7 linked regions of the Callithrix jacchus genome follow. The protein of the gene in region 4 interacts with the protein of the main gene of each other region in a pairwise test. Links are inferred from orthologs where the notes say so. Each region holds a gene or a part of one and is shown on either strand. Other genes may lie near its edges.

The links.
Region 1: the proteins of LNX1 (region 4) and DVL3 interact in a two-hybrid assay, tested with the Homo sapiens proteins (2 studies listed by BioGRID and IntAct). The link is inferred for Callithrix jacchus from reciprocal best matches to the Homo sapiens genes LNX1 and DVL3.
Region 2: the proteins of LNX1 (region 4) and CA8 interact in binary tests that used the Homo sapiens proteins (3 or more experiments, as listed by UniProt). The two-hybrid records come from large-scale screens. The link is inferred for Callithrix jacchus from reciprocal best matches to the Homo sapiens genes LNX1 and CA8.
Region 3: the proteins of LNX1 (region 4) and CCDC102B interact in binary tests that used the Homo sapiens proteins (3 or more experiments, as listed by UniProt). The link is inferred for Callithrix jacchus from reciprocal best matches to the Homo sapiens genes LNX1 and CCDC102B.
Region 5: the proteins of LNX1 (region 4) and BLVRA interact in a two-hybrid assay, tested with the Homo sapiens proteins (3 studies listed by BioGRID and IntAct). The link is inferred for Callithrix jacchus from reciprocal best matches to the Homo sapiens genes LNX1 and BLVRA.
Region 6: the proteins of LNX1 (region 4) and EIF4H interact in binary tests that used the Homo sapiens proteins (3 or more experiments, as listed by UniProt). The two-hybrid records come from large-scale screens. The link is inferred for Callithrix jacchus from reciprocal best matches to the Homo sapiens genes LNX1 and EIF4H.
Region 7: the proteins of LNX1 (region 4) and DDX17 interact in binary tests that used the Homo sapiens proteins (3 or more experiments, as listed by UniProt). The two-hybrid records come from large-scale screens. The link is inferred for Callithrix jacchus from reciprocal best matches to the Homo sapiens genes LNX1 and DDX17.

What each region holds. Positions count from the first base shown.
Region 1 is NC_133516.1:13,150,531-13,154,030, forward strand, and holds part of DVL3 (segment polarity protein dishevelled homolog DVL-3), read left to right. Parts: intron 1-18; coding exon 19-88; intron 89-724; coding exon 725-864; intron 865-1,043; coding exon 1,044-1,120; intron 1,121-1,206; coding exon 1,207-1,274; intron 1,275-1,421; coding exon 1,422-1,571; intron 1,572-2,178; coding exon 2,179-2,310; intron 2,311-2,482; coding exon 2,483-2,650; intron 2,651-3,500. UniProt on the Homo sapiens protein: Involved in the signal transduction pathway mediated by multiple Wnt genes.
Region 2 is NC_133517.1:16,345,449-16,348,948, reverse strand, and holds part of CA8 (carbonic anhydrase-related protein), read left to right. Parts: intron 1-610; coding exon 611-745; 3' UTR 746-780; intron 781-3,500. UniProt on the Homo sapiens protein: Does not have a carbonic anhydrase catalytic activity.
Region 3 is NC_133514.1:111,379,753-111,383,954, forward strand, and holds the start of CCDC102B (coiled-coil domain-containing protein 102B), read left to right. Parts: upstream 1-1,402; 5' UTR 1,403-1,478; exon of another isoform or gene 1,479-1,759; intron 1,760-1,906; 5' UTR 1,907-2,032; coding exon 2,033-2,050; intron 2,051-4,202. Other genes in the region: protein disulfide-isomerase TMX3, read right to left, coding at 5-11. UniProt on the Homo sapiens protein: During interphase, forms fibers at the proximal ends of centrioles to maintain centrosome cohesion. During mitosis, dissociates from the centrosome following phosphorylation to allow centrosome separation. Contributes to CROCC/rootletin filament formation.
Region 4 is NC_133504.1:143,048,458-143,052,563, reverse strand, and holds the start of LNX1 (E3 ubiquitin-protein ligase LNX), read right to left. Parts: upstream 2,801-4,106; 5' UTR 2,497-2,800; intron 1-2,496.
Region 5 is NC_133512.1:11,962,705-11,966,916, forward strand, and holds the start of BLVRA (biliverdin reductase A), read left to right. Parts: upstream 1-1,412; 5' UTR 1,413-1,480; intron 1,481-2,364; exon of another isoform or gene 2,365-2,438; intron 2,439-4,212. UniProt on the Homo sapiens protein: Reduces the gamma-methene bridge of the open tetrapyrrole, biliverdin IXalpha, to bilirubin with the concomitant oxidation of a NADH or NADPH cofactor. Does not reduce bilirubin IXbeta.
Region 6 is NC_133503.1:9,567,411-9,571,388, forward strand, and holds the start of EIF4H (eukaryotic translation initiation factor 4H), read right to left. Parts: upstream 2,801-3,978; 5' UTR 2,776-2,800; coding exon 2,717-2,775; intron 1-2,716. UniProt on the Homo sapiens protein: Stimulates the RNA helicase activity of EIF4A in the translation initiation complex. Binds weakly mRNA.
Region 7 is NC_133502.1:209,415,800-209,419,299, reverse strand, and holds part of DDX17 (putative ATP-dependent RNA helicase DDX17), read left to right. Parts: intron 1-2,600; coding exon 2,601-2,751; intron 2,752-3,500. UniProt on the Homo sapiens protein: As an RNA helicase, unwinds RNA and alters RNA structures through ATP binding and hydrolysis.

The sequences.
Region 1 (3,500 bases), on a different chromosome or scaffold from region 4:
GGCCTCTGTCTATTCCAGTCCTCATCCTTCAGCAGCATCACGGACTCCACCATGTCACTCAACATCATCACGGTCACTCTCAACATGGGTGAGTCTGAGGAAACCGCAATCTCAGGCCCCTGCTCTTTGCCAGACACTTGGCAGACTTGAGGTCAGAGTGGCGCAGAGTTTGTTCCCTGCCCTCGAGGAGTTCTCATTCCTAAACATCAGCGGATACATAAACGGATCATTTTAGTACCTCAACATCAGGGCTGTGACAGAGATAAGCACAGAGAGTAGTAGAAGCAGAAAATGGAATCAGGGAAGGCTTCCTGGAGGAAATGACTTCTGAGTGTCCACTCCTTTGCATCTCTCAGCCACTGCATCCTTGCTCTCTGACTTCTGCCTAGGTACTCTTTAAGAGACAGCTGGATATAATAAAAGGAGCCCAACTTTGGGATTTCAATCTGAGTTTGAGTCCTGGCTCTGCCACTTACTGGCTTAAAAAAGTCATCTTCTAAGTTCACTGAACCTCAGTTGCCTGCTCTATAAAATGGGACTGAGTCCCTACCTTACAGCCAGCAAGGATTCCGTGGAAGCATGTTTGAGCATGCACGCTAAGTGCAGTGTCTGGTTCAGGATCAGTAAATGTCAGTTCATTTCCTGTCCCTTTCCATTTCCTAATGGGCTGGGAACGTGGGTAGGAACGTTGCTCCCCCCTAAGATCTTAAATTACTCTCTACAGAAAAATATAACTTCTTGGGCATCTCCATTGTGGGCCAAAGCAACGAGCGTGGAGACGGCGGCATCTACATTGGCTCTATCATGAAGGGCGGGGCCGTGGCTGCTGACGGGCGCATCGAGCCAGGAGATATGCTGTTACAGGTATCAGTGCCCACCCTAGGTAGTGGTGTGGATAGGGAGTAGGGAGGTGTCCTACCATCTGCACCCTCATTCAGAGGCCCCTTCTTGGATGGGGAAAGACTCCCTGACCTACCAAGTTGAGTTCCCCTTTCATCCTCCCGAACACAACTGCCTGTCCCACTCCGGGTCCTCTTTCCCAGGTAAACGAGATCAACTTTGAGAACATGAGTAATGACGACGCAGTCCGGGTACTGCGGGAGATCGTGCACAAACCGGGGTATGGATGGAACGGGGCGCTGGGTAAGGGGCGTGGTCTGGCCTATACACATCATCCTGCCTTCACTAGGACACCCTTGTTTTCAGGCCCATCACCCTGACTGTAGCCAAGTGCTGGGACCCAAGTCCACGTGGTTGCTTCACGTTGCCCAGGAGTAAGTGGATGGGAGACTCAGTCCTGACGCTGGTGCTTACATACATGAGCCCAGTCTCTCTTCTGTCACCCAGAATCCCCACACCTATCCTGTTGGGCCCAGCAGTGGGTGGGGTGGGTGGCCCATGACTCCTCATCCTCCCTGCAGGCGAGCCCATCCGGCCCATTGACCCTGCGGCCTGGGTCTCCCACACTGCAGCCATGACGGGCACCTTCCCTGCATACGGCATGAGCCCCTCCCTGAGCACCATCACCTCCACCAGCTCCTCCATCACCAGTTCTATCCCTGACACAGAGCGTGAGTGTCCAACCCTGTCTCCTGGGCTCAGCAGACAGGGCCAGGTGGGGCAAACTGATGAGGGTCCACGTAGAGACTCTTGCTTGAGCGTCAGAGAGGGCCGGAGAGGGGACTCAGCTCCTGTCAGCGACCCCACGCTGCAACTCCTCCACAGTGGGCACTCTAACCCCCACTCAACAGTGTTTGCTTCTGAACCTGTATGAGCACCCAGGGGACCTCAGTTTCCTCTTACAAAATGGGACTTACAACATAAACTTCACCAGATTCCTGTGGGTTTAATGAGAGGATGTAAATGAAGCACCACTGCAATGTGTGGTACAAAGTAAGCATTCAGTAAATGGCAGCCGTTTCGATTATCATAGCATGTTCATTATACCCTGGGCCAAGCGCCTGCATTTACATTATTTAATTCTTTCTTCAAATAGCCTTGTAAAGTAGATATTAAAATCCCCATTTTTTCATAGAAGAGGAAACTGAGTGTCCAAGAAGTCAGTAATTTTCCCAGCATTGGTCCCAAAACGATTAGGTGTTAGAGCTAGAATGCAAACTCTTATTTCCTCAACTCCAAAGCCCCTTTCTGCCTCACCATTCTGCCTCCCACCCCCAGGCCTAGACGACTTCCACCTGTCCATCCACAGTGACATGGCTGCCATCGTGAAAGCCATGGCCTCCCCTGAATCAGGGTTGGAGGTCCGTGACCGCATGTGGCTCAAGATTACCATCCCTAACGCCTTCATCGGTGAGAGAGTCCCATGGTGGGATGCGGGGAAGGTGGGAGTGATGGGCAGGGCCGGCTGGGGGACCCAGGACTTCCCTTGAGCTGGAACCAGCCCCAGCCTCATAGCTTCTATGAGGCCAGATGGGTCCAAGTCAGATGGGCTCCCCCAATCAACTGGCAGCCTTGCTCCCAGGCTCAGATGTGGTGGACTGGCTGTACCACAATGTGGAAGGCTTCACTGACCGGAGGGAGGCCCGCAAATATGCCAGCAACCTGCTGAAAGCTGGCTTCATCCGCCACACCGTCAACAAGATCACCTTCTCCGAGCAGTGCTACTACATCTTTGGCGACCTCTGCGGCAGTATGTGCCTCCCTCACCTTCTTGTCCTATCTCCTGGCTAGGAGTGGGGAGGTAGCCAGGGAGGTGGCAGCAGACTCTGGGGAACCCAGATTGGAGGACAGCAGAGCCAGGGGCCCAACTCAAGGCCTAGGAGTTCTGTGGCGGAAGAAGAGTCCCGTCTAGCCTGTTCGCCTGCCCACATCTCCCTGTTGGGCCTGGCATTTTCTAAATGCCTGCTCTGCCTGACCATGCTGGTTGTTCCCAAAGCATCATCTTACTCAAGCCTCACAACCTCCCAGAGGCCCAGCTCAGGAGGATACTGACAGAACAGGCCTTTTCCTTCTCACTGGCCAAAGTCTCAGCTAGGGGCGTTACAGGCTCAAAGGGAAGAACTGGAGGCCTAGGTAACCCTGAGGAGCAGTCATTTGCCTCAAGACAACAGCCTGGAGGCTCACGGTGTCATCAGCTCTTCGGGCAAGAGCTGGCACAGACCACTGCTTTCCTCCACCACCACTCCCCATGCTGGCTGCTGGCCTCTTGACAGGTTGATGGCTCGGCTGCAGCATCCACAGACAGCCTCACAGCTCTGTCTCCTGACTGCTTTCCTGGAAGGCTGGGCTGGCTCTCCTTAGGGCTGGGAGAGCCCTAATAGGGCAGGTGGCCTGAAGGGCAATTATTGTTCTCTTGTAGCTCTGGGAACTGGTACAAATAGTGTGTGAGCAGAGGGTGTCCCAGGAAGGTACTGAGTCCTGGTGACTGTCACCTTATACTCTCTTCAAGGTACTTCCAACATTGGGAGCAGCCTTGCCCTTAAGGAATGGAAATTTCCCTGGGGGCGCCAGAGTCATGAGATGAGGAATATTAGTGGGTG
Region 2 (3,500 bases), on a different chromosome or scaffold from region 4:
AGTTATAGTGGGGAAGCCATGGGACCTGGAGAGGCCACCCAAGAAGGGGAAATGAACTTGAAAATCAGTATTGTGAAGACTGGAAATTGGACTCAGACTTTTGGAAAATCATAGATATTTTTTAGACCCATGCTCTCTAGAGGGCTGAAAAAGGGGCAAAAGTCTTTTGATAAAAGGACACCTTGAATCCATCTAATAAATCTAAGATCTAATCAGTGTTTGCATACAGTAACATAAGAATCTGTTAATTAAAATATACTTGGGAAGCATTTAAGAACACAGTCATTTGTTCACTCTTACTATGTTTTAGATAGGCATAGGACGTTTTTGAGAGAGGTGTGTATCATTTTTACATTAACAAATGCAGCAGATTTCTGTGTCTGTTCGAGTTGTTCAGAGACCTTGATATGTCTGCTTCTGTTGTCATCTCTCGAAAGTGTCCTGCCTAATGTCTTAGGTCTGGAAGAATGAAGTCTGCTTCTTTTCTTTTTGAAACTTAATTTTAATTTTCTCTTTTTAAATTGTAATTTATGCATATTTTATGCATGTCCTTTATGAAACTCCAATCTTTTTAATGTATTAATCTATTTTCTTCTGCTTTTGTTTTCAGATAGAAGAATTTCGAAGGCTGAGGACGCATGTTAAGGGGGCAGAACTTGTGGAAGGCTGTGATGGGATTTTGGGAGACAACTTTCGACCCACTCAGCCTCTTAGTGACAGAGTCATTAGAGCTGCATTTCAGTAGCCAAAGAGGACAGAAACAAGTCTATCTTCATGAGGGTATGTCCAGATTATGTAAGGAAAATGAGGTGCCCAGCTACTTAAACCTAGCATACCAAAGGTGCACTTATGGTGATCCTGGTAATTTAGTAATTAAGCATATGTACTTCATCTTGATAAAATTTATGACACATTCTTGAGCTCTGTTAATTATAGGTCAGGTAGTTATTTTAATTTTATGCAGTATTAAAGAAAAACTATGATTATATTTTCCTATCAGAGTAGCCCTAAATTCCAAATTTTGCTGGCTTTCATAAGGAAAGACACCCTGCGGCCCCGAAAAAGTGACGTGCAAGGACCTCTTTAGTAACTTACCATGTTTTCCCCTTGAAGCAGCACTAGTCATGTCCCAGTGACCAAGGAGCACACAGGAAGGGGCTTGGGGAGCATGAGAGTCTCACTGTGGACCGTACTTGTCTTCTGCAGAATTGATTCTCTTATTTCTCAGGGTAGGGAGCCTATCTGGCATGCACTGAAATACTTGTTCTATGGAAGTGCTATTTATTTGATAAAGTGAGAAGCACTTATTAATTATCTGAATATGGTGAAACATTATGTATTTTAATATATTGAATTCACTGTATGTATTTCTTACTTTTAAGGATCTAACAAAATAAAATATCACAAACATGGAAGAGATAAAATATAAAAACGACTATATATTGGATTATTTCTTTACCTTGTTAGTCTCCAAAGAGTGCATAGGTCATTGTACATCACTGGCAAACCACAGCTTCCCAAGGGGAAAGCATCTGTTGGAATAGATCCTAGGGAAGCAGTGAAATCTCTTCTTTGTAGGCAATTTAAAAATTAGCTGGGCATGGTGGCCGCCACTTGTAGTCCCAGCTATTCAGGAGGCTGAGATGGGAGGATCACTTGAGCCCAGAAGGTAGAGGGTGCAGTCAGCTGAAATTGCACCACTGCACTCCAGCCTGGGTGACAGTCAGACCCTGTCTCAAACAAAATAAAACAAAACAGAAAAACGAAGTCTGCTGGGTAACCAAAGTGATAGACATGGAGGCTTGGACGCTAGAATAGGAGCAGTGGAGGTGGAGAGAAGCTGATGTATATGAAATAGAAATTGCAGGTTATAGCTAATGATGAACTGGATGAGGGGTAGAGGGAGATGGAAGTGTCAAAGATAACTTCTGGGGATTTACACTTTGGAAACCCTAGATGGAGTGCCACTGAGTGGCAGTAGGAAGGCTGCGGGGAGGCCCTGTTTGGTTGAAGATAAAGCGTTGAGCTGTAGCACAGTGAGTGAGAGATGCCTGTCAACCACAAACTCCTGTGGTCCTGAAGGTCATTAGAATTTCAAGAGTGGAGATCAGAAAACAGGATGGGCTGAAATATGGGAGTATTGGACATAGATATTGTATATGTACATGTTCATATAATGTTCTGACTTCACCAAGTGTGCATGAAATCTTGTGGGAGGTTTTACACACAAGTTAGGCAAGACACAGATAAGTTAGGTCGCGCCCAAAGTAATGCAGTTACTTAGCAGCAGAGCTGAAAGATCCAGGCAGCTTGACTGGCAGAGCTCTTTTTCTTTACCATGATACGGGCAGAGGTTAAAGAGAGTCGCTACACTGGCGGTTGAGTGGTACATCAAGGAGGGACGCAGTTGCAGCAGGCGGAAGACCACAGGAAGGCAGGAGCTGGAGACTCCAGGTCACAGCCACCTTGGTGGGCTGGACTGGGGTGGGGCAGGAGGCCTCAGCAACAGAGAGGGGGTGGGATTGAGGAATTTTTTTCCTATCTTTTTTTTTTAATTGTACATTAAGTTCTGGGGTACATGTGCAGATCTTACAGGATTGTTGCATAGGTACCCACATGCCATGGTGGTTTGCTGTCTCCATTCCCCTCATCACCTGCATCAGGCATTTCTCCCAGTGTTATCCCTCCCCAACCTCCCCACCCCCCGCTGTCCCCCCTTCCCAACAGACCCCAGTGTGTTATGTTGCCTTCCCTGTGCCCATATGTTCTCATTGTACAATACCTGCCTATGGGTGAGCACATGTGGTGTTTGGTTTTCTGTTCTTGTGTCAGTTTGCTGAGAATGATGGTTTCCAGATTCATCCATGTCCCTACAAAGGACACAAACTCATCATTTTTTATGGCTGCATAGTATTCCATGGTGTATATGTGCCACATTTTCTTTGTCCAGTCTATCACTCACAGACATTTGGGTTGGTTCCAGGTCTTTGTTATTGTAAACAGTGCCTCAGTGAACATATGTGTGCATGTGCCTTTATAACAGAACGATTTATAATCTTTTGGGTATATACCCAGTAATGGGATTGCTGGGTCAAATGGAATTTCTATTTCTATATCCTTGAGGAATCACCACTGTCTTCCACAATGGTTGAACTAATTTACACTCCCATCAATAGTGTAAAAGTGTTCCTATTTCTCCACATCCTCTCCAGCATCTGCTGTCTCCAGATTTTTAACTTGTCTATGTACTAGGGTGTGGGGAAGGAGCAAATAGATGGAGAGAGGCTGAAGGTGCTGCTTCTGGGAGGAGCTGGAGCAGTGAAGTCTAAGAAGTTGAAAGGGATGAAATTCTAAGCACACAGGGAGACTGGCTTTTGCTAGAGGATTGGTACTCTTTGTACTGCAATGGGAAGGAAGAAAGAAGGAGGTGTGATTTAGAGCTGCTGTGTACCCATGACTTGCTCTTATCATTTAATGATGAATGGGGCAGGAGCTAGGAG
Region 3 (4,202 bases), on a different chromosome or scaffold from region 4:
TCACGATTCATCTAAATCTTCTACAGCTCCTTTACAGACGACCATATCAAGTAAAACAACTGAAGAAAAGAAAAAGACAAAATGTACACAATAAATGCTGATTATTTGGCTCATACTGCATAAGCTTAGTCATCTTTGAAGTGTTTTTTGACCTTTTGCAACCTACCAAAAAATTCATCACTGATGCATTCCACGGTACAAATGATGCAAAAGCAGAAGTAGTTCATCCATTTAATAAACATCTAGTCTGTATGCAACCATATCATGACCGGCCAGGTTCTAGTAAGCCCATAAATCTAATAAACACAGAGTTCCTTTTTCCTACGTATTTTAACTCTCACCTTACTTTTCCTTTTTACCATCCTGTCTTTTTGGAATACAGGCAGACAGCATTCCTCTATATTTCTTTTGTTTTAGTAGCAATGATCTCTTCAGTAAAAATTACAAATGCCATTCAAAATATTTCCCCTGAAATAGACGGCTAGAACAAATCAAAGTCGAGCTGCAACTCTAATACTTAATACAGGGCATTGCCTGACACAGAATGGGCTCTTAAAGGTTGCTAAGTGAGCGGACCCCAGTGAGAACGAAGGCACCCAGGGCTGAAGAGAGGGAGCTGAGAACAGCGGACACACACTGAGTGTTTCACACCGCACAATCCCGGTGGCCTGACCCTGATCTGAGCCCTGGTGGTAAAAAGCCTTAAACGTGACAAGACTCAGAACCTAAAGCCAAGGCAAGATCTGGCGGTTAAGCTGGGACGGCAGCATCCTTCTTGCCCATCAAAGGAGTGAGCTTTATTGAAACTTCCTGCCACAATGAAGAAAACACAGACACAAGGAAGCGCGCCCTTCCCGCGCCCGGCACTGGCCCCGCACAGGGGCAAGGGAAAGACCCCCAGGTATCCACTCCGTCAGGGCCAGGCAGGTCGGCGTGGCGGGGCGGCAGGACTCTGCGGGACCGTGCGAGCGTCTCCGCGGACCCCACAGGCCTCGCCTCAGCCCCGGGCCCAATCCCGGCCCCACGGCGGGCCAGGTCCCAAGAGCCTGCCGGCGTCGCGACCTCTGCTCGATCATTACCTGTGGCGCAGAGCCGCAGGGCGGCCCGACACCTCCAGGCTGCCATGCTAGCCTGGGAGAGCTGCAGAAGCTGACTCTGTGCAATAGAGAGAAAAGATACCGGTGTCCGCTGCCTTCCCGCCAGGAAAGGGAAGCGGAGCTGACCCAGAGCGGAAGAGAAGCTCCGCTCAGAATACGGGGGCGGGGCAGGCCGGCCTCCGTTAAGCTCCCAGGACCCCGCCGGTCTCCGTCTCTGAGTATGCGCGGAGTGCGGCGCATGCGCCGGGAGGGCAGCGTCTGCGCTGTCGTGTGCTTCAGCATCCTTTGCGCCCTCGGCCCCTCCTGAGGAGCGTGGGAACCCAGCGTGCGGGCTTTATTCGGGAAAGCGGTGGTTGTTCACGGGGGCACGTTTCCGGAAAGGTGAATACTGGAGAAAGTTAGGTTGCAGGCGAGGTAGACTCCCACGACGCACTTACGGGATGAATATTGGCACATCATTTGCTTGCTGCTCCCGTGCAGTGAGTGCACCTGTGCGTTTTAATGCTGGATCAAATTTGTGGAAAGAGGCGCGCCTGAAGACTGGATTGCTGAGCTGCGCGCCACTCTGTGTTTTTCCAAAGCGTTTTTGAAATCGTCTTTCAACCTGTTTGCATAAAGGGACATCTCTTAAATGCAGCAAGCTTTAATGCACTTTTGCCAAAGTAAGGATTGCCTCTTTAAAAACTTTCTCTTGAAACTTGAGAACATAAAGTTAGGCTTAGGATTTTTTATGACTTTTCTGATTACTTTGGAATTAAATAAAATAGTATGAAATATTCATATTGCTACCTGTTTTTTTTTTTCTACAGGACAATGATTTGTAAAACCCATATTTCTTTTATATGAGGTTACTGCAGCAGTCGCTACTTCTGAATTAGATGAAATTTTTATGGGACGTAAGGTACCAGAGGATTTAGATCAAATTTTGAAAACCTATGAGAACAACAGAAAGGGTAAGTTATGATGTCAGCCGGTTCACCTTAGGTTCAAAATTCCAACAGGCGGAAATGTTCTAAAACATTGTTATTCCTAGTGACTAGAAGATTAAATTACACTCTAATTGAGAGCAAGCCTTAAATGTCACCCCTTTTGGGCATACAGCATGGTATCCAGTGCAAGCCCTCTGCAGATTCAATTTTTCTTCCTTTCTTTTTTTTTTTTTTTTTTTTTAAAGAAAAAGACTAAAACATAAGGGGACTGTTGAAGCGACGGGAATGTTCTCTCAATGGTGGTGAAACAGCTTTATAATAGTACCATGGACTTGATACTCTTCTACAGAAGCTTTTCTACTCTCTTGGCAGTATCTCTGAAAGACCCATATTCAGTTTGTTTTTCCATTCTAATGTATTTCAAAGTTCTCTGTCTTCCACAGCATGCAAAATAAAATAATTTCTTTGCATATTTGCATTACAGTTTAAGTTAGCATGTGGAGAACAACAAAAACCAGTTAACCTAGATCTGTGCTCTTCAATAGTGTAGCCACTAACCACCTGTGGCTATTGAGCTTTTGAAACATGCCGTGTCATGAAGTAACTGAATATTTAATTTTAATTTTAGGAAATAAAAAAACTGACACTCGATTCAGTTATTGGAAAGTTTTTTTAATATGATTGGAACAACTGAGATATTTGAATCTACTTTTTCAACTGTAAATTTTATGAAATCTAAAAACTGATCATTTCCCAGGTGTGGGTGGCTCTTAACTGTTTGCCAGCACTTTGGGAGGCTGAGGCAGGAGGATTGGTTGAGGTCAGGGATCCGAAACCAGCTTGGGCAACACAGTGAGACCCCGTCTGTACAAAAAGTTTAAAAATTAGCCAGGTGTGGTGGCACACACCTGTGGTCCCAACTACTCCAGAGGCTGAGGTGGGAGGATCAATTGGGCCAGGGAGGTTGAGGTTGCAGTGAGCTGTGATTGTGCCACTGCATTCCAGCCTGGCAACAGAGCTAGACCATGTTTCTATAAAATAAATACCAATTAACGTATTTCTGATGAAATTAGGGAGGTTGTAAGGAGGTATAGTATAAATGTAAAATATACACTGGATTTGGAAGGCAGTATAAAACTGTTAAATGTCTCAGTATTTTTGTATTGATTATATGTTGTAATGCCTATAGCTTAGCTATATCTTAGATATATTGAGTTAATAAAATAAATTATTAGAATTAATTTCACCTGTTTTTATATTTCACTGTGTTTCCAAGAAAATTTATAATGACATATGTGCTTTGCATGATATTTTCATTGCAGGCAATGTGAAAATGTTCAAAATTATGCATTAATGTGAAAATGATTTAATAAACCAATAGACTTTTTAGGCCTTTTGTTCAGAGAACATGCTAAATTTCCATATGCTAAAACATATTCAGTGTTCAAAAATTTAAGTGTTTTTTTCCTGCTTATCTACCTCAAGTGGTGATCACTTTTTTTGTTATTTAAAAGGTTCTACTATTTTGACAAGATCTTTAAAAAGACTTTCAGATAAGCTACACTTGTACAGATACATGCCTTATATATTTTGCCTACATATGGCTGTAGTCTAAATGTGTATCGCAAATTGCATATGTTGAAACTTCATTGCCAATATGATAATATTAAGAGATTGGGCCATTTGTGCATGATTTAATCATGAGGTGGAACGCTCATGAATGTGATTAGAGACCTAATAAAAGAGACCAAAGGGATTATCTTAGTCCCTTTTCCCCTTCAACCTTAAGCCATATGAAGACACAAGAAGAAGGTACCATCCTTGGAAGCAGAGAGCAAACCCTTATCAGACATCAAACCTGCTGACTCCTTGATGTGCAGCCTCCAGAACTTTAAGAAATAAATGTTTATTATTTATAACTTATCAAGTCTGTGCTATTTTGTTACAGAGCATCAACAGGCTAAGTAAGACACATGTGCTTTCCAAAAGTCATATACACAGGTGTCTTGTTTATGGTAGGACTGTTTGCAATTGTGAAAAGCTAAACAATTCAAATCTGTAAAAGTAGAATAGATAAATTGTGTTGTTATCCTGTAGTAAAGTACTATATAGTAATGAGAATGAATGAACTTTTGTATGGAGAACTGTGTGGTTGCAAATCATAAACTAAATGTTG
Region 4 (4,106 bases):
TAGGATTCCCTTTTGGCATCTCTTCTGTGCCCACCCAGTCTGGGCTAGGTGCCCTCCCCTGGCAGGTTGTGTAGGCTCTCATTGCACTTGTCCACATGGAATTGAAATTTATTGCTTATTTGCTTCCCACAGTGGACTGGGAGTTCCTTGAGGGTAGCAATCAAGATTTAAATCTCTATGTCCCACCCTAGCCAAGCACCTCATACCTCGTAAGCGCTTTGTATCTGTTGTTGAGTAAAATGAATAATGGAGAACCTTGACAAGGACTTGGCAGAGAAGAAAAAGGAGAATTAACTGCCCCAGTAGTGGTTTTTACCCTGGAAATGTTGTTACTACCCTGAGCAGATAGTGAGCAGCTCACATCCATATAGATGAGCAGACCAAGTGGAATAGAATGAATGGCATAAGCCTGACTTCTTTAGGCCTGATGCTGAGGACATGTGCCCTGCCTATACGAAGGAGAAAGCTCTGTTCCCCATCAAAGACAGTGACAACACAGGTACATACACACATGCACAGCGCAGGTCACAGTCTTTAAAAATATTACACGTGGCTGAGCAAAGTAGGCACCTGTGCGGGGTGTGGAGGACATATCGTAGCTCCAGAATTCCAGGAGCCAGCTCAGGGAGGCCCAGAACAAAGCATCAGGGCCTAAGCAGGGTGCGGAGGGCATCTGAATGGGGCAGGGGACACTGGTCATGATGGCAGTTGGTGATATTTGGGGGACCGAACAAATAAACAAATAATATATTAAGGATAATGGGAGCCAGCCTCTGATCAATGTTAATGACGGCAGTTACAAATTCAGAAAGGGAGAAAACTCTGTGGTGTTGGAAGTGTGAATTTATGGTTTTCAATACATATGGATTAATATAGAAATAAATAGATACATAAATAGAGGAGGAAGCTGGGAATCAGAATTAGACCTGTCTAGCTCTTTTCACCATTCTTTACTAAGGCCCTACACATAGGCCCTCTGCTGTGAAACCTCTGCCCCCTTCGCTGTCCCCTAGAACCCCAACTGGAACTCACATAGACTTAGAAGATTCCACCCCCATAGTCTCAGAGCATGCATCACACCACATGGCACTAGTTGCACACAACTAACTCATGAGGTTTTGGTTACATGGAGGGTAGGCCTCCTCTTATCTGTATTCCCTGCATCTCCCTTGGAACCAGGCACATGGCCATCACGATAGTTAGTATTAATATTTACTGTGCACTTATTATGCATCAGCAAAGACTTCACATGCATAATCTCATTTACAGCTGAAGACAACCCTATGAGGGACATATTACCATCATTCCCATTTCACATATTGGCAAGGTGAGGTTAGAGGGGTTAACCGAGGTACGCCAAGATGTAGAGCTAGTGAGAGGTAGAACCAAGAGTCAAGGCCAGACGGTCTAATTCCTCAGACTGTGCTCCTCACCCCTCAGCTCTGCCACCATGGACTAGGTGTAAGTAAATGGTCACTCAACAGATTCCTCCCAGGGACTTGTGTTTCTAAACACTCTCCCTCAATCCAAGTCCACACTTTATGCTGAGCTCGTTTGAAGCTCACCTCTTTAGGGGAGCTCCCCATCCTGGTCTGAACTGCTGCCTCAGTTCTCCTTGGGCACAGGGCTTGCATCGCACCCTGACATATGACCCAGTCAGTGTTGGAGCAGGGAACATAGTTTGTCGACATTTGTTGAACTGAATTCAATGCCCAGGAATGGAAGTAAACAGGGATACATGACAAAGTGGTATATTGTACAGGATACTGTGGTTATCTATTTCTGGATTTTCCAGAAGAGTTCAATTTCTAAAATTCCATCCTCTCATCAGACCATTTGTCAGAATACATGGCCAAGAATGTAGTCTGGAATTTTGTTTAAAGAGTAAGGTCGCCATTCTATAGAAGAGAGGCGGGAGTGGGCACAGGGTGTGCTGCCGGGCACCCCAGCCCGACACACCCGTGGGCAGGTCACAGCTCTCTGAACCTCTTTATCTGTAGGTAAAACTGCAGTGCAATACCTACTCCTACTGCGGAGTGAAATGAAGTCTGTGTGTGATGTGTTTTAAATACTGATGAAGAATAATGTCATGTAAATCCAGTTACTGCTAGTGGGATTCCTCACGGTTTCACTGACCTGTCTGGCAAGTCATTTTCATCTGTGAAAGTAAAGAAGCTTTTAATGAAGACCACTGCAGGAAAATAGGTATAAAGAGAGCAAATGTCCTGAGGTCTTTCTAGTGTTTTGAAAAAGACACCCCTGGATATTTTCCATCTTTTAGACTCTCTTCAATTTGATGCGTGTGTGTGTGTGTGTGTGTGTGTGTGTGTGTGAGAGAGAGAGAGAGAGAGAGAGAGAGAGAGAGAGAGAGAGAGAGAGAGAAAGAGAGAGAGAGAGACAGAGAGAGGGGAGAGTTGGAGGCCGAGTGGGCAGAGGTGGAGTTGTTTTAAAAAACTGCATGAGATTCTAGCTGGTGGAGGGACAAGGCTATCTTACCTTTGCTGTATGAGGTCTCCCAGCTGTGTGAGGTCTCAGGAGATAGTTCTTTTGAGAGCTGAGCTTTTCTGGCTTAGCAGTAGCTCAGAAAACTTTTCTTTCTCTTTCCAGTGTTCTGTGCCCCAGCTGTGTATAAAAACTGCTCCGCCTTTTTCCATGCAGGGGTTAACCAGGGCATCTCCTGCCCCTTCTGCAAGGCTTTGGGTAGAAGAGATCCATAAATCTGACAGCAGCTATGGGGAGATTCAAGGAAGAGCAGTCTCCCGCAGAGCAGCATGCATTACCATCAGTGACAAATCTGTCTGGTTTGGATGGGGCTGAGACACCCCTGAACTTCCTTCTGCTCTTGCCAAAAGTCAAGATCCTTTTGTTCACCTTTAGGGTTGCCAAGTCAGGCCTACCTCTCCCCTAGATGTTGTTTCCTGCGGGCAATGGGAAAATGATCTTGGAGCCAGAGAAGGGAAATCAACAAGGAAATAAACACAGGGTCACCACACCTTCAGGCCATCAGTAGGTCTGGAACATTATCATGCTGGGACCAACTCCTTAATAGGCAGGGGCTGCTGACTGGACAGGCCCTAGAATCCTGGGCATCTTTTATTTTTCAATAAGTAAAGGGGCATGCACCAAAATCAGTATCAGGCAAATAAGTAGTTCTGACTTGTTCTAATACCTTGCCAAAACTTTCAAAGATTTTCCATAGGCAGTATTGCTCATAACTGAACATTGCCTAATGTTTGTAGACAAAAAAAAAGGAATGGGCATGTTTGTGGCTGATACTATTTAAGACTTTTAACTCCAAAGATATAGAATTATTGTTTAAATAAGTATTTCTTCTGCTCATTCTTCAGCATCATCACCATCATCACCATCGTCAGCGGCTGCAACATCTTTGCTAACATTTATTAAGTGCTTACTGTCTACCAGATTCTATAGTAATCACCCGACCTGCATTATTTCATTTAATTCTCAACAGAATCCTATCATTATCACTCCCATTATACAGATAAAGAAACTGAGGATTAGAGAGACTAAGTCATTCCTGCAGAGTGACCCAGCTAATTAAAAATGTAAACATTGTGATTCCAGAAGTGGGCTTTTCTGAGCTTTGCTTTTCCCACCAGTTGACCTAAGCACTAATGTGGGCTGACAGCTCCAGTAAGGACCAAAGATTTTGCTTAAATAAGTGATTAGCTCTGGGTATCAGATTCTAAATAGAAACATAAATAATTAGTGAGTTAAGTAGTCTCCTTCCAGAGATGTGAGTCGAGTCCTTGGTGTTACCTTATGTATATGCATCATGCAAGAAGGACACAGAGAGTTCAGGTACTTGTGGCCCCGTAATCACAGGTGGTGCTACTGGCTGCAGTGCCTTCAGCTCTCCACTGTGACTCTGATTTACAAACAAGGAAGTGCTCTGCAAGTCCCTTGGCCTCTGTGTGCATTTCGGTCATGGCCTGATTGCTACTTTGTCCTTTTGACTTTCAGAGTCAAACTGCTGCAAGTTTCTTTTAATCAATAATCCAGGGAATGAAGGAGGCAAAATGACCAGCCTGGAAACTTCTGCCTGGTGAGATGAAGCCAGCACATGTATTTTTGGTCCTAAGGTC
Region 5 (4,212 bases), on a different chromosome or scaffold from region 4:
GGTGGAGGTTGCAGCGAGCCAAGGTCGTGCCACTGCACTCCACCATGGGCAGTAGAGCGAGACTCCGTCTCCAAAGAAAAAAGAAATAGCACAGAGGCCAGAGTGACTGGAGCAGAGTGAGGCAGTGGGGAGGCAGTAGCAGATGAGGCTGCAGAGGTAACAGAGGGGCAATCGTGAAGGGCTTTGGCTTTTACTCTGAGTTTGGGAAACCCCTGGGAAGGTTTCGAGCAGAAGAGGAATTGGATTTGGCTTTCTTTAGGGTCACTATGGCTGCTGTATAGGGACAGACTGCAGGGAGATCGGGGAAGAGACCACTGTCGTGACCAAGGTGGGAGATGATGGAGGCAGAGGTAAGAAGTGGTCGGGCTCTGAGTATGCTAGGGAGGTCCAACCAACAGAATTTTTGGGCCCTGGAGGTGAAATGTGAGAGAAAGCTGAGTGCCGGGTAACAGCAAGGTTTCTGTCCTTAACACCTGGTTTCTGTCCTTAACGCCATTGAGATGGTGATGCTATGGGGAAGACATCAAGGGCACAGATTGGGATGTGTTGAGATTGAAATTTATTGTAGAGATCCAAGAGGAGGTATTACCTAGGCAGCTGGATAGGGAAGTATGGAGTTCAGGAGACAGGCCCCGCCTGGAGATGAATTCAAAGCCAAACCTTTCTCTCTTGGCACCCAACAAAACCTCACTTAAGCAGGCTTGTCAGGTCACGGAATAAAGTACAAGAACGTTTTTGGAGGGCGAAATGCCGGTCAGCCCTACCAGTCAGAACGCTGCTTTTAAGATCAAAGAGATCTCTGTTCTTCAGCCTAACCCACCTCTCTACCTAGTTTCTCCCCCAGCCCTGCTAGGCTAGAAGCTCCCTGGCTTTTACCACGTCAGGATCCCCAACAAGCCCATTCCCAGGTGGATAAGAGCCCAGGCAGTTCCCTAGGACACCGTTCACTTCCTAGCTACCCAAGAGCAGGACACCGGCCTCCTGGATATTCACTCCGCTCTCAGAATTACACGAAGAACTCAAGGAAGCCTCGGCGCCGGTTCAGTCGGGCCGGGGCCACTAATACCAAAGGGACCCAGTGGGTTCTACGTGGTGAGTGGGGGCCGGGTAAGAGGGATGCGACACCCCCACGCTGGGGCCAGGCACACCGTGAGGGGCTCGGCCACTTCTTACGCCCTCCGATCGGCGAGCACCTACCACCCACCCTCGCCACCAAGCTGGGTGCAGAGAACAGGGCAGGCGCACGGGCAGTTCTCACGGCCCCAGGCGCCAGGCCCAGGGCGCAGAGGCCGGCTTCTCACGCGCGACCGCGCGAGGCCGGGCCCCTCCCTCCCCTTCCCGTCCTCACTCTTCCCCTCCACCTCCCGTCCCCTCCCGGTCCCCGCCACCCAGCCGGGCAGCCAATCGGAGCTGGGATCCCGCCCCGGTCCGCAAAGCCGGCGGCGCCCGAAGGCTGCACGGAGAGCGGTACACGGGTCAGGTGAGGCGCGCGCGAGGAACGGGGGTCGCACGCGGGGGAGCGGGGGTCGAGCGCGGCTTCCATAGAGCGCTCGGCCTGAGCTCGAAGCCCCAGGCCCGCGGGAGGCCCGGGCCCGCTACTGCGAGAGCCGGGACGCAGCCTGGGCGCCGCCTGCCCCGCCCCGCCCGGCCCCGCCCGGGCCCGGCGCGAGGACGCGGTCAGAGGCCCCGCGGCCCGGATCCCGACGAGGGGTTTTCTCAAATACACAAAAGACGGTCTAAAAAATTAAGTCTCCGTGTCTGTTGAGATTGCCCGTGGCTTCGGTTTTTATGTAGACCCGGGCGAGCAGGCTCGGCGTCCGGCGTGCCGCGTAGTCCGGCGGCTCCGGGAGCTCGAGCGGCTGGGCCCGGGCGTCGCCACCGCGGAGCCGCGAGCTCGGCCGGGACCTGCCCGGGACGCCCTGAGGTCCGCTCCGCGGGGACGAACCTGGCGCGGCGCAGGCACTTGGCCTCTCCTATCTCCGCTTTCGTCTTTGGAAACTGGAAACTTATCAATTCATTTACATTGATTGATTACATGGTTTGAGGATTACATGACAGTGTTCTGTAAAGTGCACTCTACATATGAAGTACTCAGAAACAGGGCTAATAATTAGGTTAGGGTATTAACCCGAACCCTAACCCCAACCCTCACAGCTACTTAAATGATAAAAAGGATTTGCAGCATCAGAGTTACAGTTTTGGATACTAATTTTTTTCACTTAACGCTCGTTAAATGATAGGAGTTTTCCATCCTGTTATACCGCTGTGCGATCTAATCTTGGTGCCTCAGTTTTCTCACCTGTAAAAGTGGGGATAATCATAATGCTTACTTGGTTAAATGGCCCTGAAGAATAAATGACTTACCGAGCATAAATAGCTTACAGTAGGGTTTTCAGCATGGGAAGGATTCAGTAAATGGTAGCAGTCATAATCACCACCTACAAAGCAAGCAACACTGCTGAAGATTTTCCATCATTAATGTAGGTCCTATAATACGATTTCCAAGAAGTTATTTAAATTATGGAAATAAAGGTATTGGTATATTGCTAATTATTTCCCAAAAGATTGTATTGATAAATATGCTCATCCTTCCCTTAACGTTATGCATTCCATAAATCACAAACTTAAGTCAAATATTAGACAGTATCATAAGGCAGATTGTGTAGCCAGAGAGCTAAAATTTACGAAAGGCGCCCTAATTATACTTGAACTTTTAGGAATAATTCTCAGTGTGTTTTCCCACATTTCATATGTGATCTTTACTTTTTTATTCTCTGTACCCGCTGCCTACCCAGTTAGCATCTGAGTAGAGTCAAAGATCTGCCACTTTGGGCCACATTTATTAATTTTCATCTCTGTTCTCATTGTATTTACTCTTTGATCTACACTGCTTACTACTCCCAGTCATTTTTTACAGAACTGAAAATCTGGTAAAATACTCAGACTTGCATGGGCTTCTGCGTAGAGGTGACACTCCACCAGTGCCGTGGGCTGGCAGGGAATCACAGTGTAGGAGCCACGGCAGCATTTTTATTCCTGATTCTCCTTGGCGTATCCAGGACTCTGATTACATGATCGCATATATGTATCAGTGGTAACAGATTGGGGCATTTGTTTTTTTGTCATAAATCATATAAGATTTAGAAATAAGTTGATAGCCATATATTTTGGCATTTGAAAAAGACATTTCATTACTCAGCTTCAAATTAAGCTTTAATCAAATAGTAAAACTTTTCATTAATGGACAGTATATACATTTTTGTTTATTTTTTTAAAATACTGAATATAGTGCCTTTGGACAGGGGAGCTTAGTTCCTGACAATGTTCTCTTGAGTCTTTTTTTTTTTTTTTTGAGGCAGAGTCTTGCTCTGTCACCCAAACTGGAGTGCAGTGGTGTGATCTTGGCTCACTGTAACCTCCGCCTCCCTGGTTCAAGCAATTCTCCCACCTCAGCCTCCTGAGTAGCTGGGATTACAGGTCCACGCCACCGTGCCTGGATAATTTTTGTATTTTTTTAGTAGAGATGTGGTTTCACTATGTTGGCCAATCTGGTCTCAAACTCCTGACCTTGTGATCTACCCACCTCGGCCTCCCAAAGGAGTCCTATTTTGTTGGCACAGAGTCTCCTATGTGGTTCAGACTGGAGCACAGCAACACCATCTTGGCTCACTGCAACCTCTGTCTCCTGGGTTCAAGTGATTCTCATTCCTCAGCTTCCTGAGTAGTTGGGGTTATAGGCAAGCACCACCATACCCAGCTAGTTTATATATTTATTTTATTTTATATATATATTTGTATATATTATATATTAATTTTATATACATAGTTATATATATTATATATTTTACATATATATTTTTTAGGAGGCTTTTCTGGAAATGCAAGAAAAAGAAATAACCTTTAATATGTTCTAGATATATATATATTCAATATATATATAAAATAAATATATAATATATATAAATATATATATATAATAAAATAAATATATAAATTAGCTGGGTATGGTGGTGCTTGCCTGTAACCCCAGCTACTCAGAAAGCCGAGGAATCAGAATGAGAAAAATATATATATATAATATTATATATATAAAATATAATTATATGTATTATATATAATTATATAATATTATTTATATATATATATATATATATATATATATTTTTTTTTTTTTTTTTTTTTTTCTGGAGACAGAGTCTTGCTCTTGTTGCC
Region 6 (3,978 bases), on a different chromosome or scaffold from region 4:
AGGAGAACTGCTTAAATCCAGGAGGCAGAGGTTGCAGTGAGTCAAGATCCTGCCACTGCACTCCAGCTTGGGCAATAAGAGTGAAACTCCATCTCAAAACAAACAAAAAAACACATGTATAAATAAATACATAGGCTGGACGCAGTGGCTCACACCTATAATCCCAGCACTTTGGGAGGCCGAGGTGGGTGGATCACAAGGTCATGAGATCAAGACCAACCTGGTCAACAAGGTGAAACCCCGTCTCTACTAAAAATACAAAAATTAGCTGGGCACGGCGGCGCATGCCTGTAGTCCCAGCTACTCGGGAGGCTGAGGCAGGAGAATCGCCTGAACACAGAAGGCAGAGGTTGCAATGAACCAAGGTCGTGCCATTGCACTCCAGCCTAGGTAACAACAGCGAAACTCCGTCTCAAAATAAATAAATAAATAAATAAAAAGTTAAATACATACATACATACATAAATTCACCATTTTTTTTTATGAGACGGAGTTTCGCTCTTGTCACCCAGGCTGGAGTGCAATGAGATGGGGTATCACCTTGTTGACCAGGATGGTCTCGATCTCATGACCTCGTGATCCACCCGCCTCGGCCTCCAAAAGTGCTGGGATTACAGGTGTGAGCCACTGCGCCCGGCCCAAATTCACCAGTTTTTAAAAACTACTTTTAGGAAGCTGAGCAATACTTTATGTACTTTTAGAGGAATATGAAGCCAAACAGAAAATTCCAAGTATGGGCCAGGTGGAGGTGGCTCATGCCTGTAATCCTAGCACTCTGGGAGGCCGAGGTGGGTGATAACAAGGTCAGGAGTTCAAGACCAGCCTGGCCAAGATGGTGAAACCCCATCTCTACTAAAAATACAAAAATCAGCCAGGCGTGGTGGCAGGTGCCTGTAATCCCAGCTACTCAGGAGGCTGAGGCAGAGAATTGCTTGAAACCAGGAGGCAGAGGTTGCAGTGAGCCGAGATCAGGCCAGGCCACTGCACTCCAGCCTGAGAGACAGAATAAGACTCTCAAAAAAAAAAAGAAAATTGCAAGCAAGTCGGTTGGAAGATGCTTAACAGTAAAGAGACTTTCTATTAGGAAGTTTAAGTGAGGCACAGGGTACCTAACTTCTCAGTTTCTGGAGTACGCCTGGGCATGTGGCTGATACTCTCCTTTGCCTGTGGGTATTTGAAATGAATCTTAAGGGAATTTACTTCGGACAGTTCCAGGCACTCCCAGATGTGAAAATTTGACACCAGAAGGTCTGGCAAATGCGTCTAAAGGAAGAATTTTCTTTCAATCCCCACACTCGGTCTAATGAGGCCACCTTATTGCAGGATCAATGCAACTAAAACTTAAATTGACCACTCTCTTTAAGAAGAATTTTCCTGGGTGCTTCTGTGAACGTTTTATGGAAGTGAAAAAAAAAAAACAACAACAACAACAAACAAAGCCTAGTTATTAAATTTCGAAATGACTTAAGAACAAATGTGATGTCTAGAAACCTACCCCAAAGGCGATAATTTTATGTCATCCTAACATTTCCTCTTTTATTAGCAAATAAAATGTTATTTGGAATGCCAAGGAGCTCCTCCCTCCCCGACACTTCCACATTACAGTGTCATGAATGGTATTAGCTACACTCCTGCACCAGAATAAGCTTTTGTTTGAGCCGTTCCCAAACCAAGGTATTAGAAGCGACCATTCTTCACCAAACAAAGATACTTTTGGACTGCAGCCCAGGAGCCTGAACACCTCAGTGTGTACTAACTATTGTGGTGTTATCCTGGGAAAGCAACCCCGTCTGCGAGAAAACACAAACAGCCTTGTCCTTGACAAACAGCAGTGTGTTCGCAGCCTAAAATCTAAAGAGGCAACTATTAAAAAAAATTAAAAGTGCAGAATCCTGGAACTAAACACCACGAGCTCTCTATTCAAAGACGTTTCTTTTAAACAAGGTGTTTCAGTTACACATAGCCGTCTGCATTTGACAACAATCAGGACGAGGCTAAATGCGGTTCCTTCTCCAGGTAAGAGCGAGAAACCAGAGGGAAATAAAATTGTGCCAAAGAGCACGTAGCACCTGTCAAGGCACTGTGACCCAAGAAAGATGAACACAAAGAAGCCGCGATGGATTTGGTTATCCTTGGTCTCTCCCCGCCCGCAGGGAGTCCTACCAGCCCCAGGCCAGAGCCGCCAAATCCCGGCCTCACAAGTAAGGGGAAGGGAATCGCCCCTCTCGCCTTCCGACTTTCCCCAGGCGGCCGGCCTCATGGCAAAGCGGCCAAGGGCCTGCAGAGCCGGCAGACAACGGAGGTCCGCAGAAGAGGCCAGGACAGGAGCCGGGAAGGCCGTGTGGCCCGCACCTCGGCGCCGCAGCTCAGCCCCGCGCTGGTCCTGCCGTAGCGGGGATGGGGCTGGAACCCGGCGCTCATCTCCGGGCACTCTGCGCCGCCGCGGCCGAGGCAGGGCAAAACCCTACACGTTGTCGTTGGCGGGAAGCGGTGGAAGGGATCCACCCCGCGAGCAAGACCCCCGGAGCCCAACCGCCGCCGCCCCCTCTTCGAGCGCGCCATTTCCAGGCCCTGGCCCTCCAGGCGCCGCTCCTAGGCCTCCGCGGGTCCTCGCCTCGGGAAGCCCCGGGTGAGCGCAGGACGGCTGCCTCCTCTGACAACCCCGACCCCGCCGGATCCCCCAGCCCACGCCGGAGCCCGCGCACGCCCGCCTCACCCTCTGCCGCCGCCGAAGCTGCTGTAGGCCCGATCGTCGTAGGTATCGAAGTCCGCCATTTGCCGTCTCGCTCCGAGAGGAACCAGGGTGAGCGAGGAAGGACCCCGCAATATAACTCCCCCCGCCCCGCCGCCGGGGCTGTCCGCCGCGCCGCCTGATCGCAAATCGCTCGGACGCGCGCACGCACGGACGCTCGCCGCGCCGCGCCGCGCCGCGCCGGGCCTTGGGCCCACGGGCAGCTGCTGGCTCCGCGCGCTCTGAGGCCCACGTGGTGCGGCGGCGCCCGAGCTGGACGCCTGCTCTGCCAGCGCGGCCCATTATGTGCTGTCCCTGGGGCTGCGCCCGCGGCCGCCTCCTGTCCCCGTCGCGCCCCGCCCTAGCGCGTCAGCCTTCCCCTCCGTCTGCGGGAGGTGGTCGGCAGAGCCGGGCAGGAATTCCCTCTCGGGTTCGCCTGGGACCTTGCCTTTTGGCCTCCAGACCTGGCAGGGACCTGTTCCGCTTGGCCTCGCGAGTGATCCCCTATGACACCCAAGTAAAGGCCACCTCCTCCAGACAGGAACCGGCCACACGAAGAGGATGCCCTGGAAGGGGGTGCAAGGCGATGGGACGCAGATGCGAATCCCGTCTTCCAGGGCTTACTCGCTGCCTGGGTATTGGGGTGTTTTGAGAGGAGATAGGTGGCCTGTGACTTAGCGAGAGAGAGGAAGCACATCTCTGTGTTTTGCAGAAGTCGTTGCCTTGGAAAAAGAGTTGGTTACTGATACGGATTCCATCATCTGGCAATGACAAAACGTAGATACGCAGTGGAAATTAATTACACGGGTAAATTTCCAGGCTGGTGATTGAGATGGTGGTGATTGTGGGTGCCACAATGTTGACAAACCCTAATTATGTAGGCACACTTTAAAAATCTCATAGGCCGGGCGCGGTGGCTCATGCCTGTAATCCCAGCACTTTGGGAGGCCTACGTGGGTGGATCACGAGGTCAGGAGTTGGAGACCAGCGTAGCCAGTATAGTGAAACCCCATCTCTACGAAAAATACAAAAAATAGCTGGGCGTGGTGGCGCGTGCCTGTAATCCCAGCTACTCAGGAGGCTGAGGCAGGAGAATTGCCTGAACCCAGGAGACGGAGGTTGCGGTGGGCGGAGATCGCGCCATTGCACTCAAGCCTGGGTAACAAGAGCGAAATTACATCTCGGAAAAAAAAAAAAAAAGAGCCGGGTGGGGTGGTGGGCACCTGTAGTCCCAGCTACTCAGGAGA
Region 7 (3,500 bases), on a different chromosome or scaffold from region 4:
TCAAGTTAAGCTGTTAATTGCTGACTGGATAAAAACATTTCAGGAGCATACTATACCAGAGTACGATGTGTATATTTAAAGATATGGATATGCTCAAAAGTAAAAGATTTTCTTCAATTTTGAGGTCATTAATTATGTCAGCATTAATTATAAACATGGAAGACAGCATATTTTCCAAGAACTCCATGTTTCAAATTAGATATATAGTGTAGGGTAGTATATCTTAAATAGCCAGAGAAATATGGAGAGAGGAAAAAATACATAAATGGTAATGAGGTTATGATTAGTTTAAAGCGTTACCAGGAACATCACTTTCAAAAGTTTTATTTTTTCGTAGATTATTGAGGTTTGGGTATTGCAATGCAGCAGTAACAATGGAATATTTTATAATTTGCGAGAGTGGTAATCCAAGGACTTGGTACTTCTTGAAAAGTGCCTTATTTAGCTGCTTCATTTGCAAGTGTAGGGGGTGGCAATTGAGGTGGCCTTTTGGTCTGTTCACTATTGCACTATTGAGCCTTAAGCCGAGGAGTACATTAAAGATGTTGTTGACATGTGTATGCCAATGCTATGTGCTCTTCCTGTTTTGATTCTTAATTTGTCTTACTGCCTCAGCAGTGGTATAAAGAATTAGCCACGTTCTACCTGTTGAATGTAGGTATCCAGTGATCCCAATAAAATTTTCCTGTCATCAATTTTTGTTATATTTGTGTTTAGAGGAATATATAGCTGGTTAAGCCAGAGTTCTAATGCTTTGAATTGCAGGAAATTGAGGCCCTATAGAATAATACACCTGCTGCCTGTCAGTTATAAAGTGAAACTTTATATAAGATGATGTTATGGCCAGGCACGGTGACTCATGCCTGTAATCCCAGCACTTTGGTTTTGGGAGGCCGAGGTGGACAGATCATGATGTCAGGAGTTTTTGAGACCAGCCTGGTGAACATGGTAAAAACCCATCTCTACTAAAAAAAAGAAAACAAACAAAAACTAGCTGGGCGTGGTGGTGCACACCTGTAATCCCAGCTAATCTGGAGGCTGAGGCAGGAGAATTGCTTAAACCCTGGGGGGCGGAGGTTGCAGTGAGCTGAGATTGTGCCACAGCACTCCAGCCTGGGTGACGGAGTGAGCCTCTGTCTTGGGGTGGGGAGATGATGGTACAAGTGGGTTAGAGTGGGAAAAGGAACCTAAATTAAGTACAGTATATTACAATGAGTAAAGAAGTTGTCAGTGAAAAAAATGCTGTACAGTTCGTGTGCCAGACACAGCCCTGCACTTCACAAGATTGAAATAGGGAAGATGAAGGCCATGTTAAGATATTTCTAGGAAAAGTAGCTTCTGATTTGTTAAATTTTAGCTTAGGCTAGTGGTCATATTTGTATTCCCCTTGAGCTTGTTTGTTGTGAAAGGTATGTAAAAAGCAGGAAGTTGATCTCAAGTAATTAGTTGACTTTTAAAACCTTAAATAAGTCTTGTTAGTGGCTTTTCTGTCCATTAATAATACCGTTTGGGAACAAGGAGGAGATACAAGGTAAAAGAGACGAAGAAGGAGAGGTCATAAATGTATGTTCAGCTTTTTTTTTTTTTGGAGATGGAGTCACCCTCTGTCTCCCAGACTGGAGTGCAGTGGTGTGGTCTCAGCTTACTGCAACCTCTGCCACCCTGGTTCCAGCTGTTCTCCGGCCTCAGCCTCCCAAGTAACTGGGATTACAGGCGTGCACCACCACTGTTTAGTAGAGACAGGGTTTCTCCATGTTGGCCAGGCTGATCAGAACTCCTGACCTCAAGTGATCTGTCTGCCTCGGCTTCCCAAAGTGCTGGGATTGTGAGCCACTGAACGTGGCTTGTTCAGCTCTTTTATTAGAATAAGCTAAAAATGAAGACCGGTCTACGAGGAGTGCTCGTCACAGTTTAAAGGGGGAAGGGCCCAAGAAGACTGAGGGACATGCTTGGAGTGTATTTTCTTCCTTGTCCACAATCTTGCCTTTAACTGAAACTGAAACTAATGTCATCCTTTGCCTGCCTCTCTGTTACACAAGAGTAGAGACTTGTTTCTGTTTTATTTACTTTAGTAACTCCAGCACGGCACCACTTCAAATAGTAACTGATACATAGTTGGTACCTAATAACTATTTGTTGACTGGAATGATGCTTGCTTGTACTGAGTGCTTGTTATGCCAGTTACTTTTATAGCACATTACACATTATTAGATCTTTTTCTCAGCAGCCTCTGAAATAGGTGGTATTATTTCTAACTTGCATAGGAAACTGAGGTGTGTAGAAGTTAAATAATTAAATTATACAGTAAGTGGCAGAATCAAAACTCAAACCATGTCTGGTTCCAGAATCTGTGATTGTAATCCTTAGTATGTATACAGGAATTTTTTATTTTTCACCTATTATAGCCATACTCATAAACAGTTACTCTTGTTGGGTAGTAAAGGAAGTTTTACACACTTCTCCATACCTTTAAATAGGAGTGAATAACATGGTCTTTTGGAGGTAGGCTGGTAGTAGTCTATCTTGTTTGAATCTTTTTATGGTGTGTAAGATATATTACTTCAAAAATACTGATGAACTAAAAATTCTGATGTTCCTAGATTTGGAGCAAGAGGTGGTGGTGGCCTCCCCCCGAAGAAATTTGGTAATCCTGGGGAGCGTTTGCGTAAAAAAAAGTGGGATTTGAGCGAGCTCCCCAAGTTTGAGAAAAATTTTTATGTGGAACATCCGGAAGTAGCAAGGCTGACTCCAGTAAGTTTGTGTGTGTGTGTTTTAATGTACAGATTATTGAACCAGTAGACATAGTGGTTAGAGTTTATTCATACACTAATGTTGCTGTTTTACATTTTATTCTAGTGTGGTGATATTTTTAAAAAAATTTTTTTTCTTAATCACCTCCCCTTCCCCTCCCCCCCAGAGACTGGGTTTTGCCACGTTGCCCAGGCTAGTTTCAAACTCCCTAGCTTGAGCAATCTACCCGCTTTGGCTTCCCAGAGTACTGGAATTAGAGGTGTGAGCCACTACACCCAGCTGATATTTTTCTTATATTCTTAACTAAGATCAGTAATCCTCATAAAAGGGGGCCAGTTTAAATATGCATTTAATTTGTTATTTGTTGATAATGCTTCCTAATCTATTTATTATACCTGATTGAAACTATTATATATTAGGTCATGTCTTTTCAACTGTCAGTGAAAAAAATATATTGGTGTTGTCTTTTTTTTTTTTTTTTTTGAAATGAGGTCTTGCTCTGTCCCCCAGGGTAGAGTGTTGTGGCGTGACCTTGGCTCACTGCAACCTCTACGTCCCAAATTTAAGCAATTTTCCCACCTCAGCCTCCTGAGTAGCTGGGATTACAGGCACATGTCACCATGCCCCACTATTTTTTTTTTTTTTTTTTTTTTTTAAGTAGAGCCACTGTGCCCAGCCAAAATTTGTCTGTTGTTGTGCCTCATTATCATTGTTTTGGACTTTACAAATGAAATGGTTACTCTTTCAGA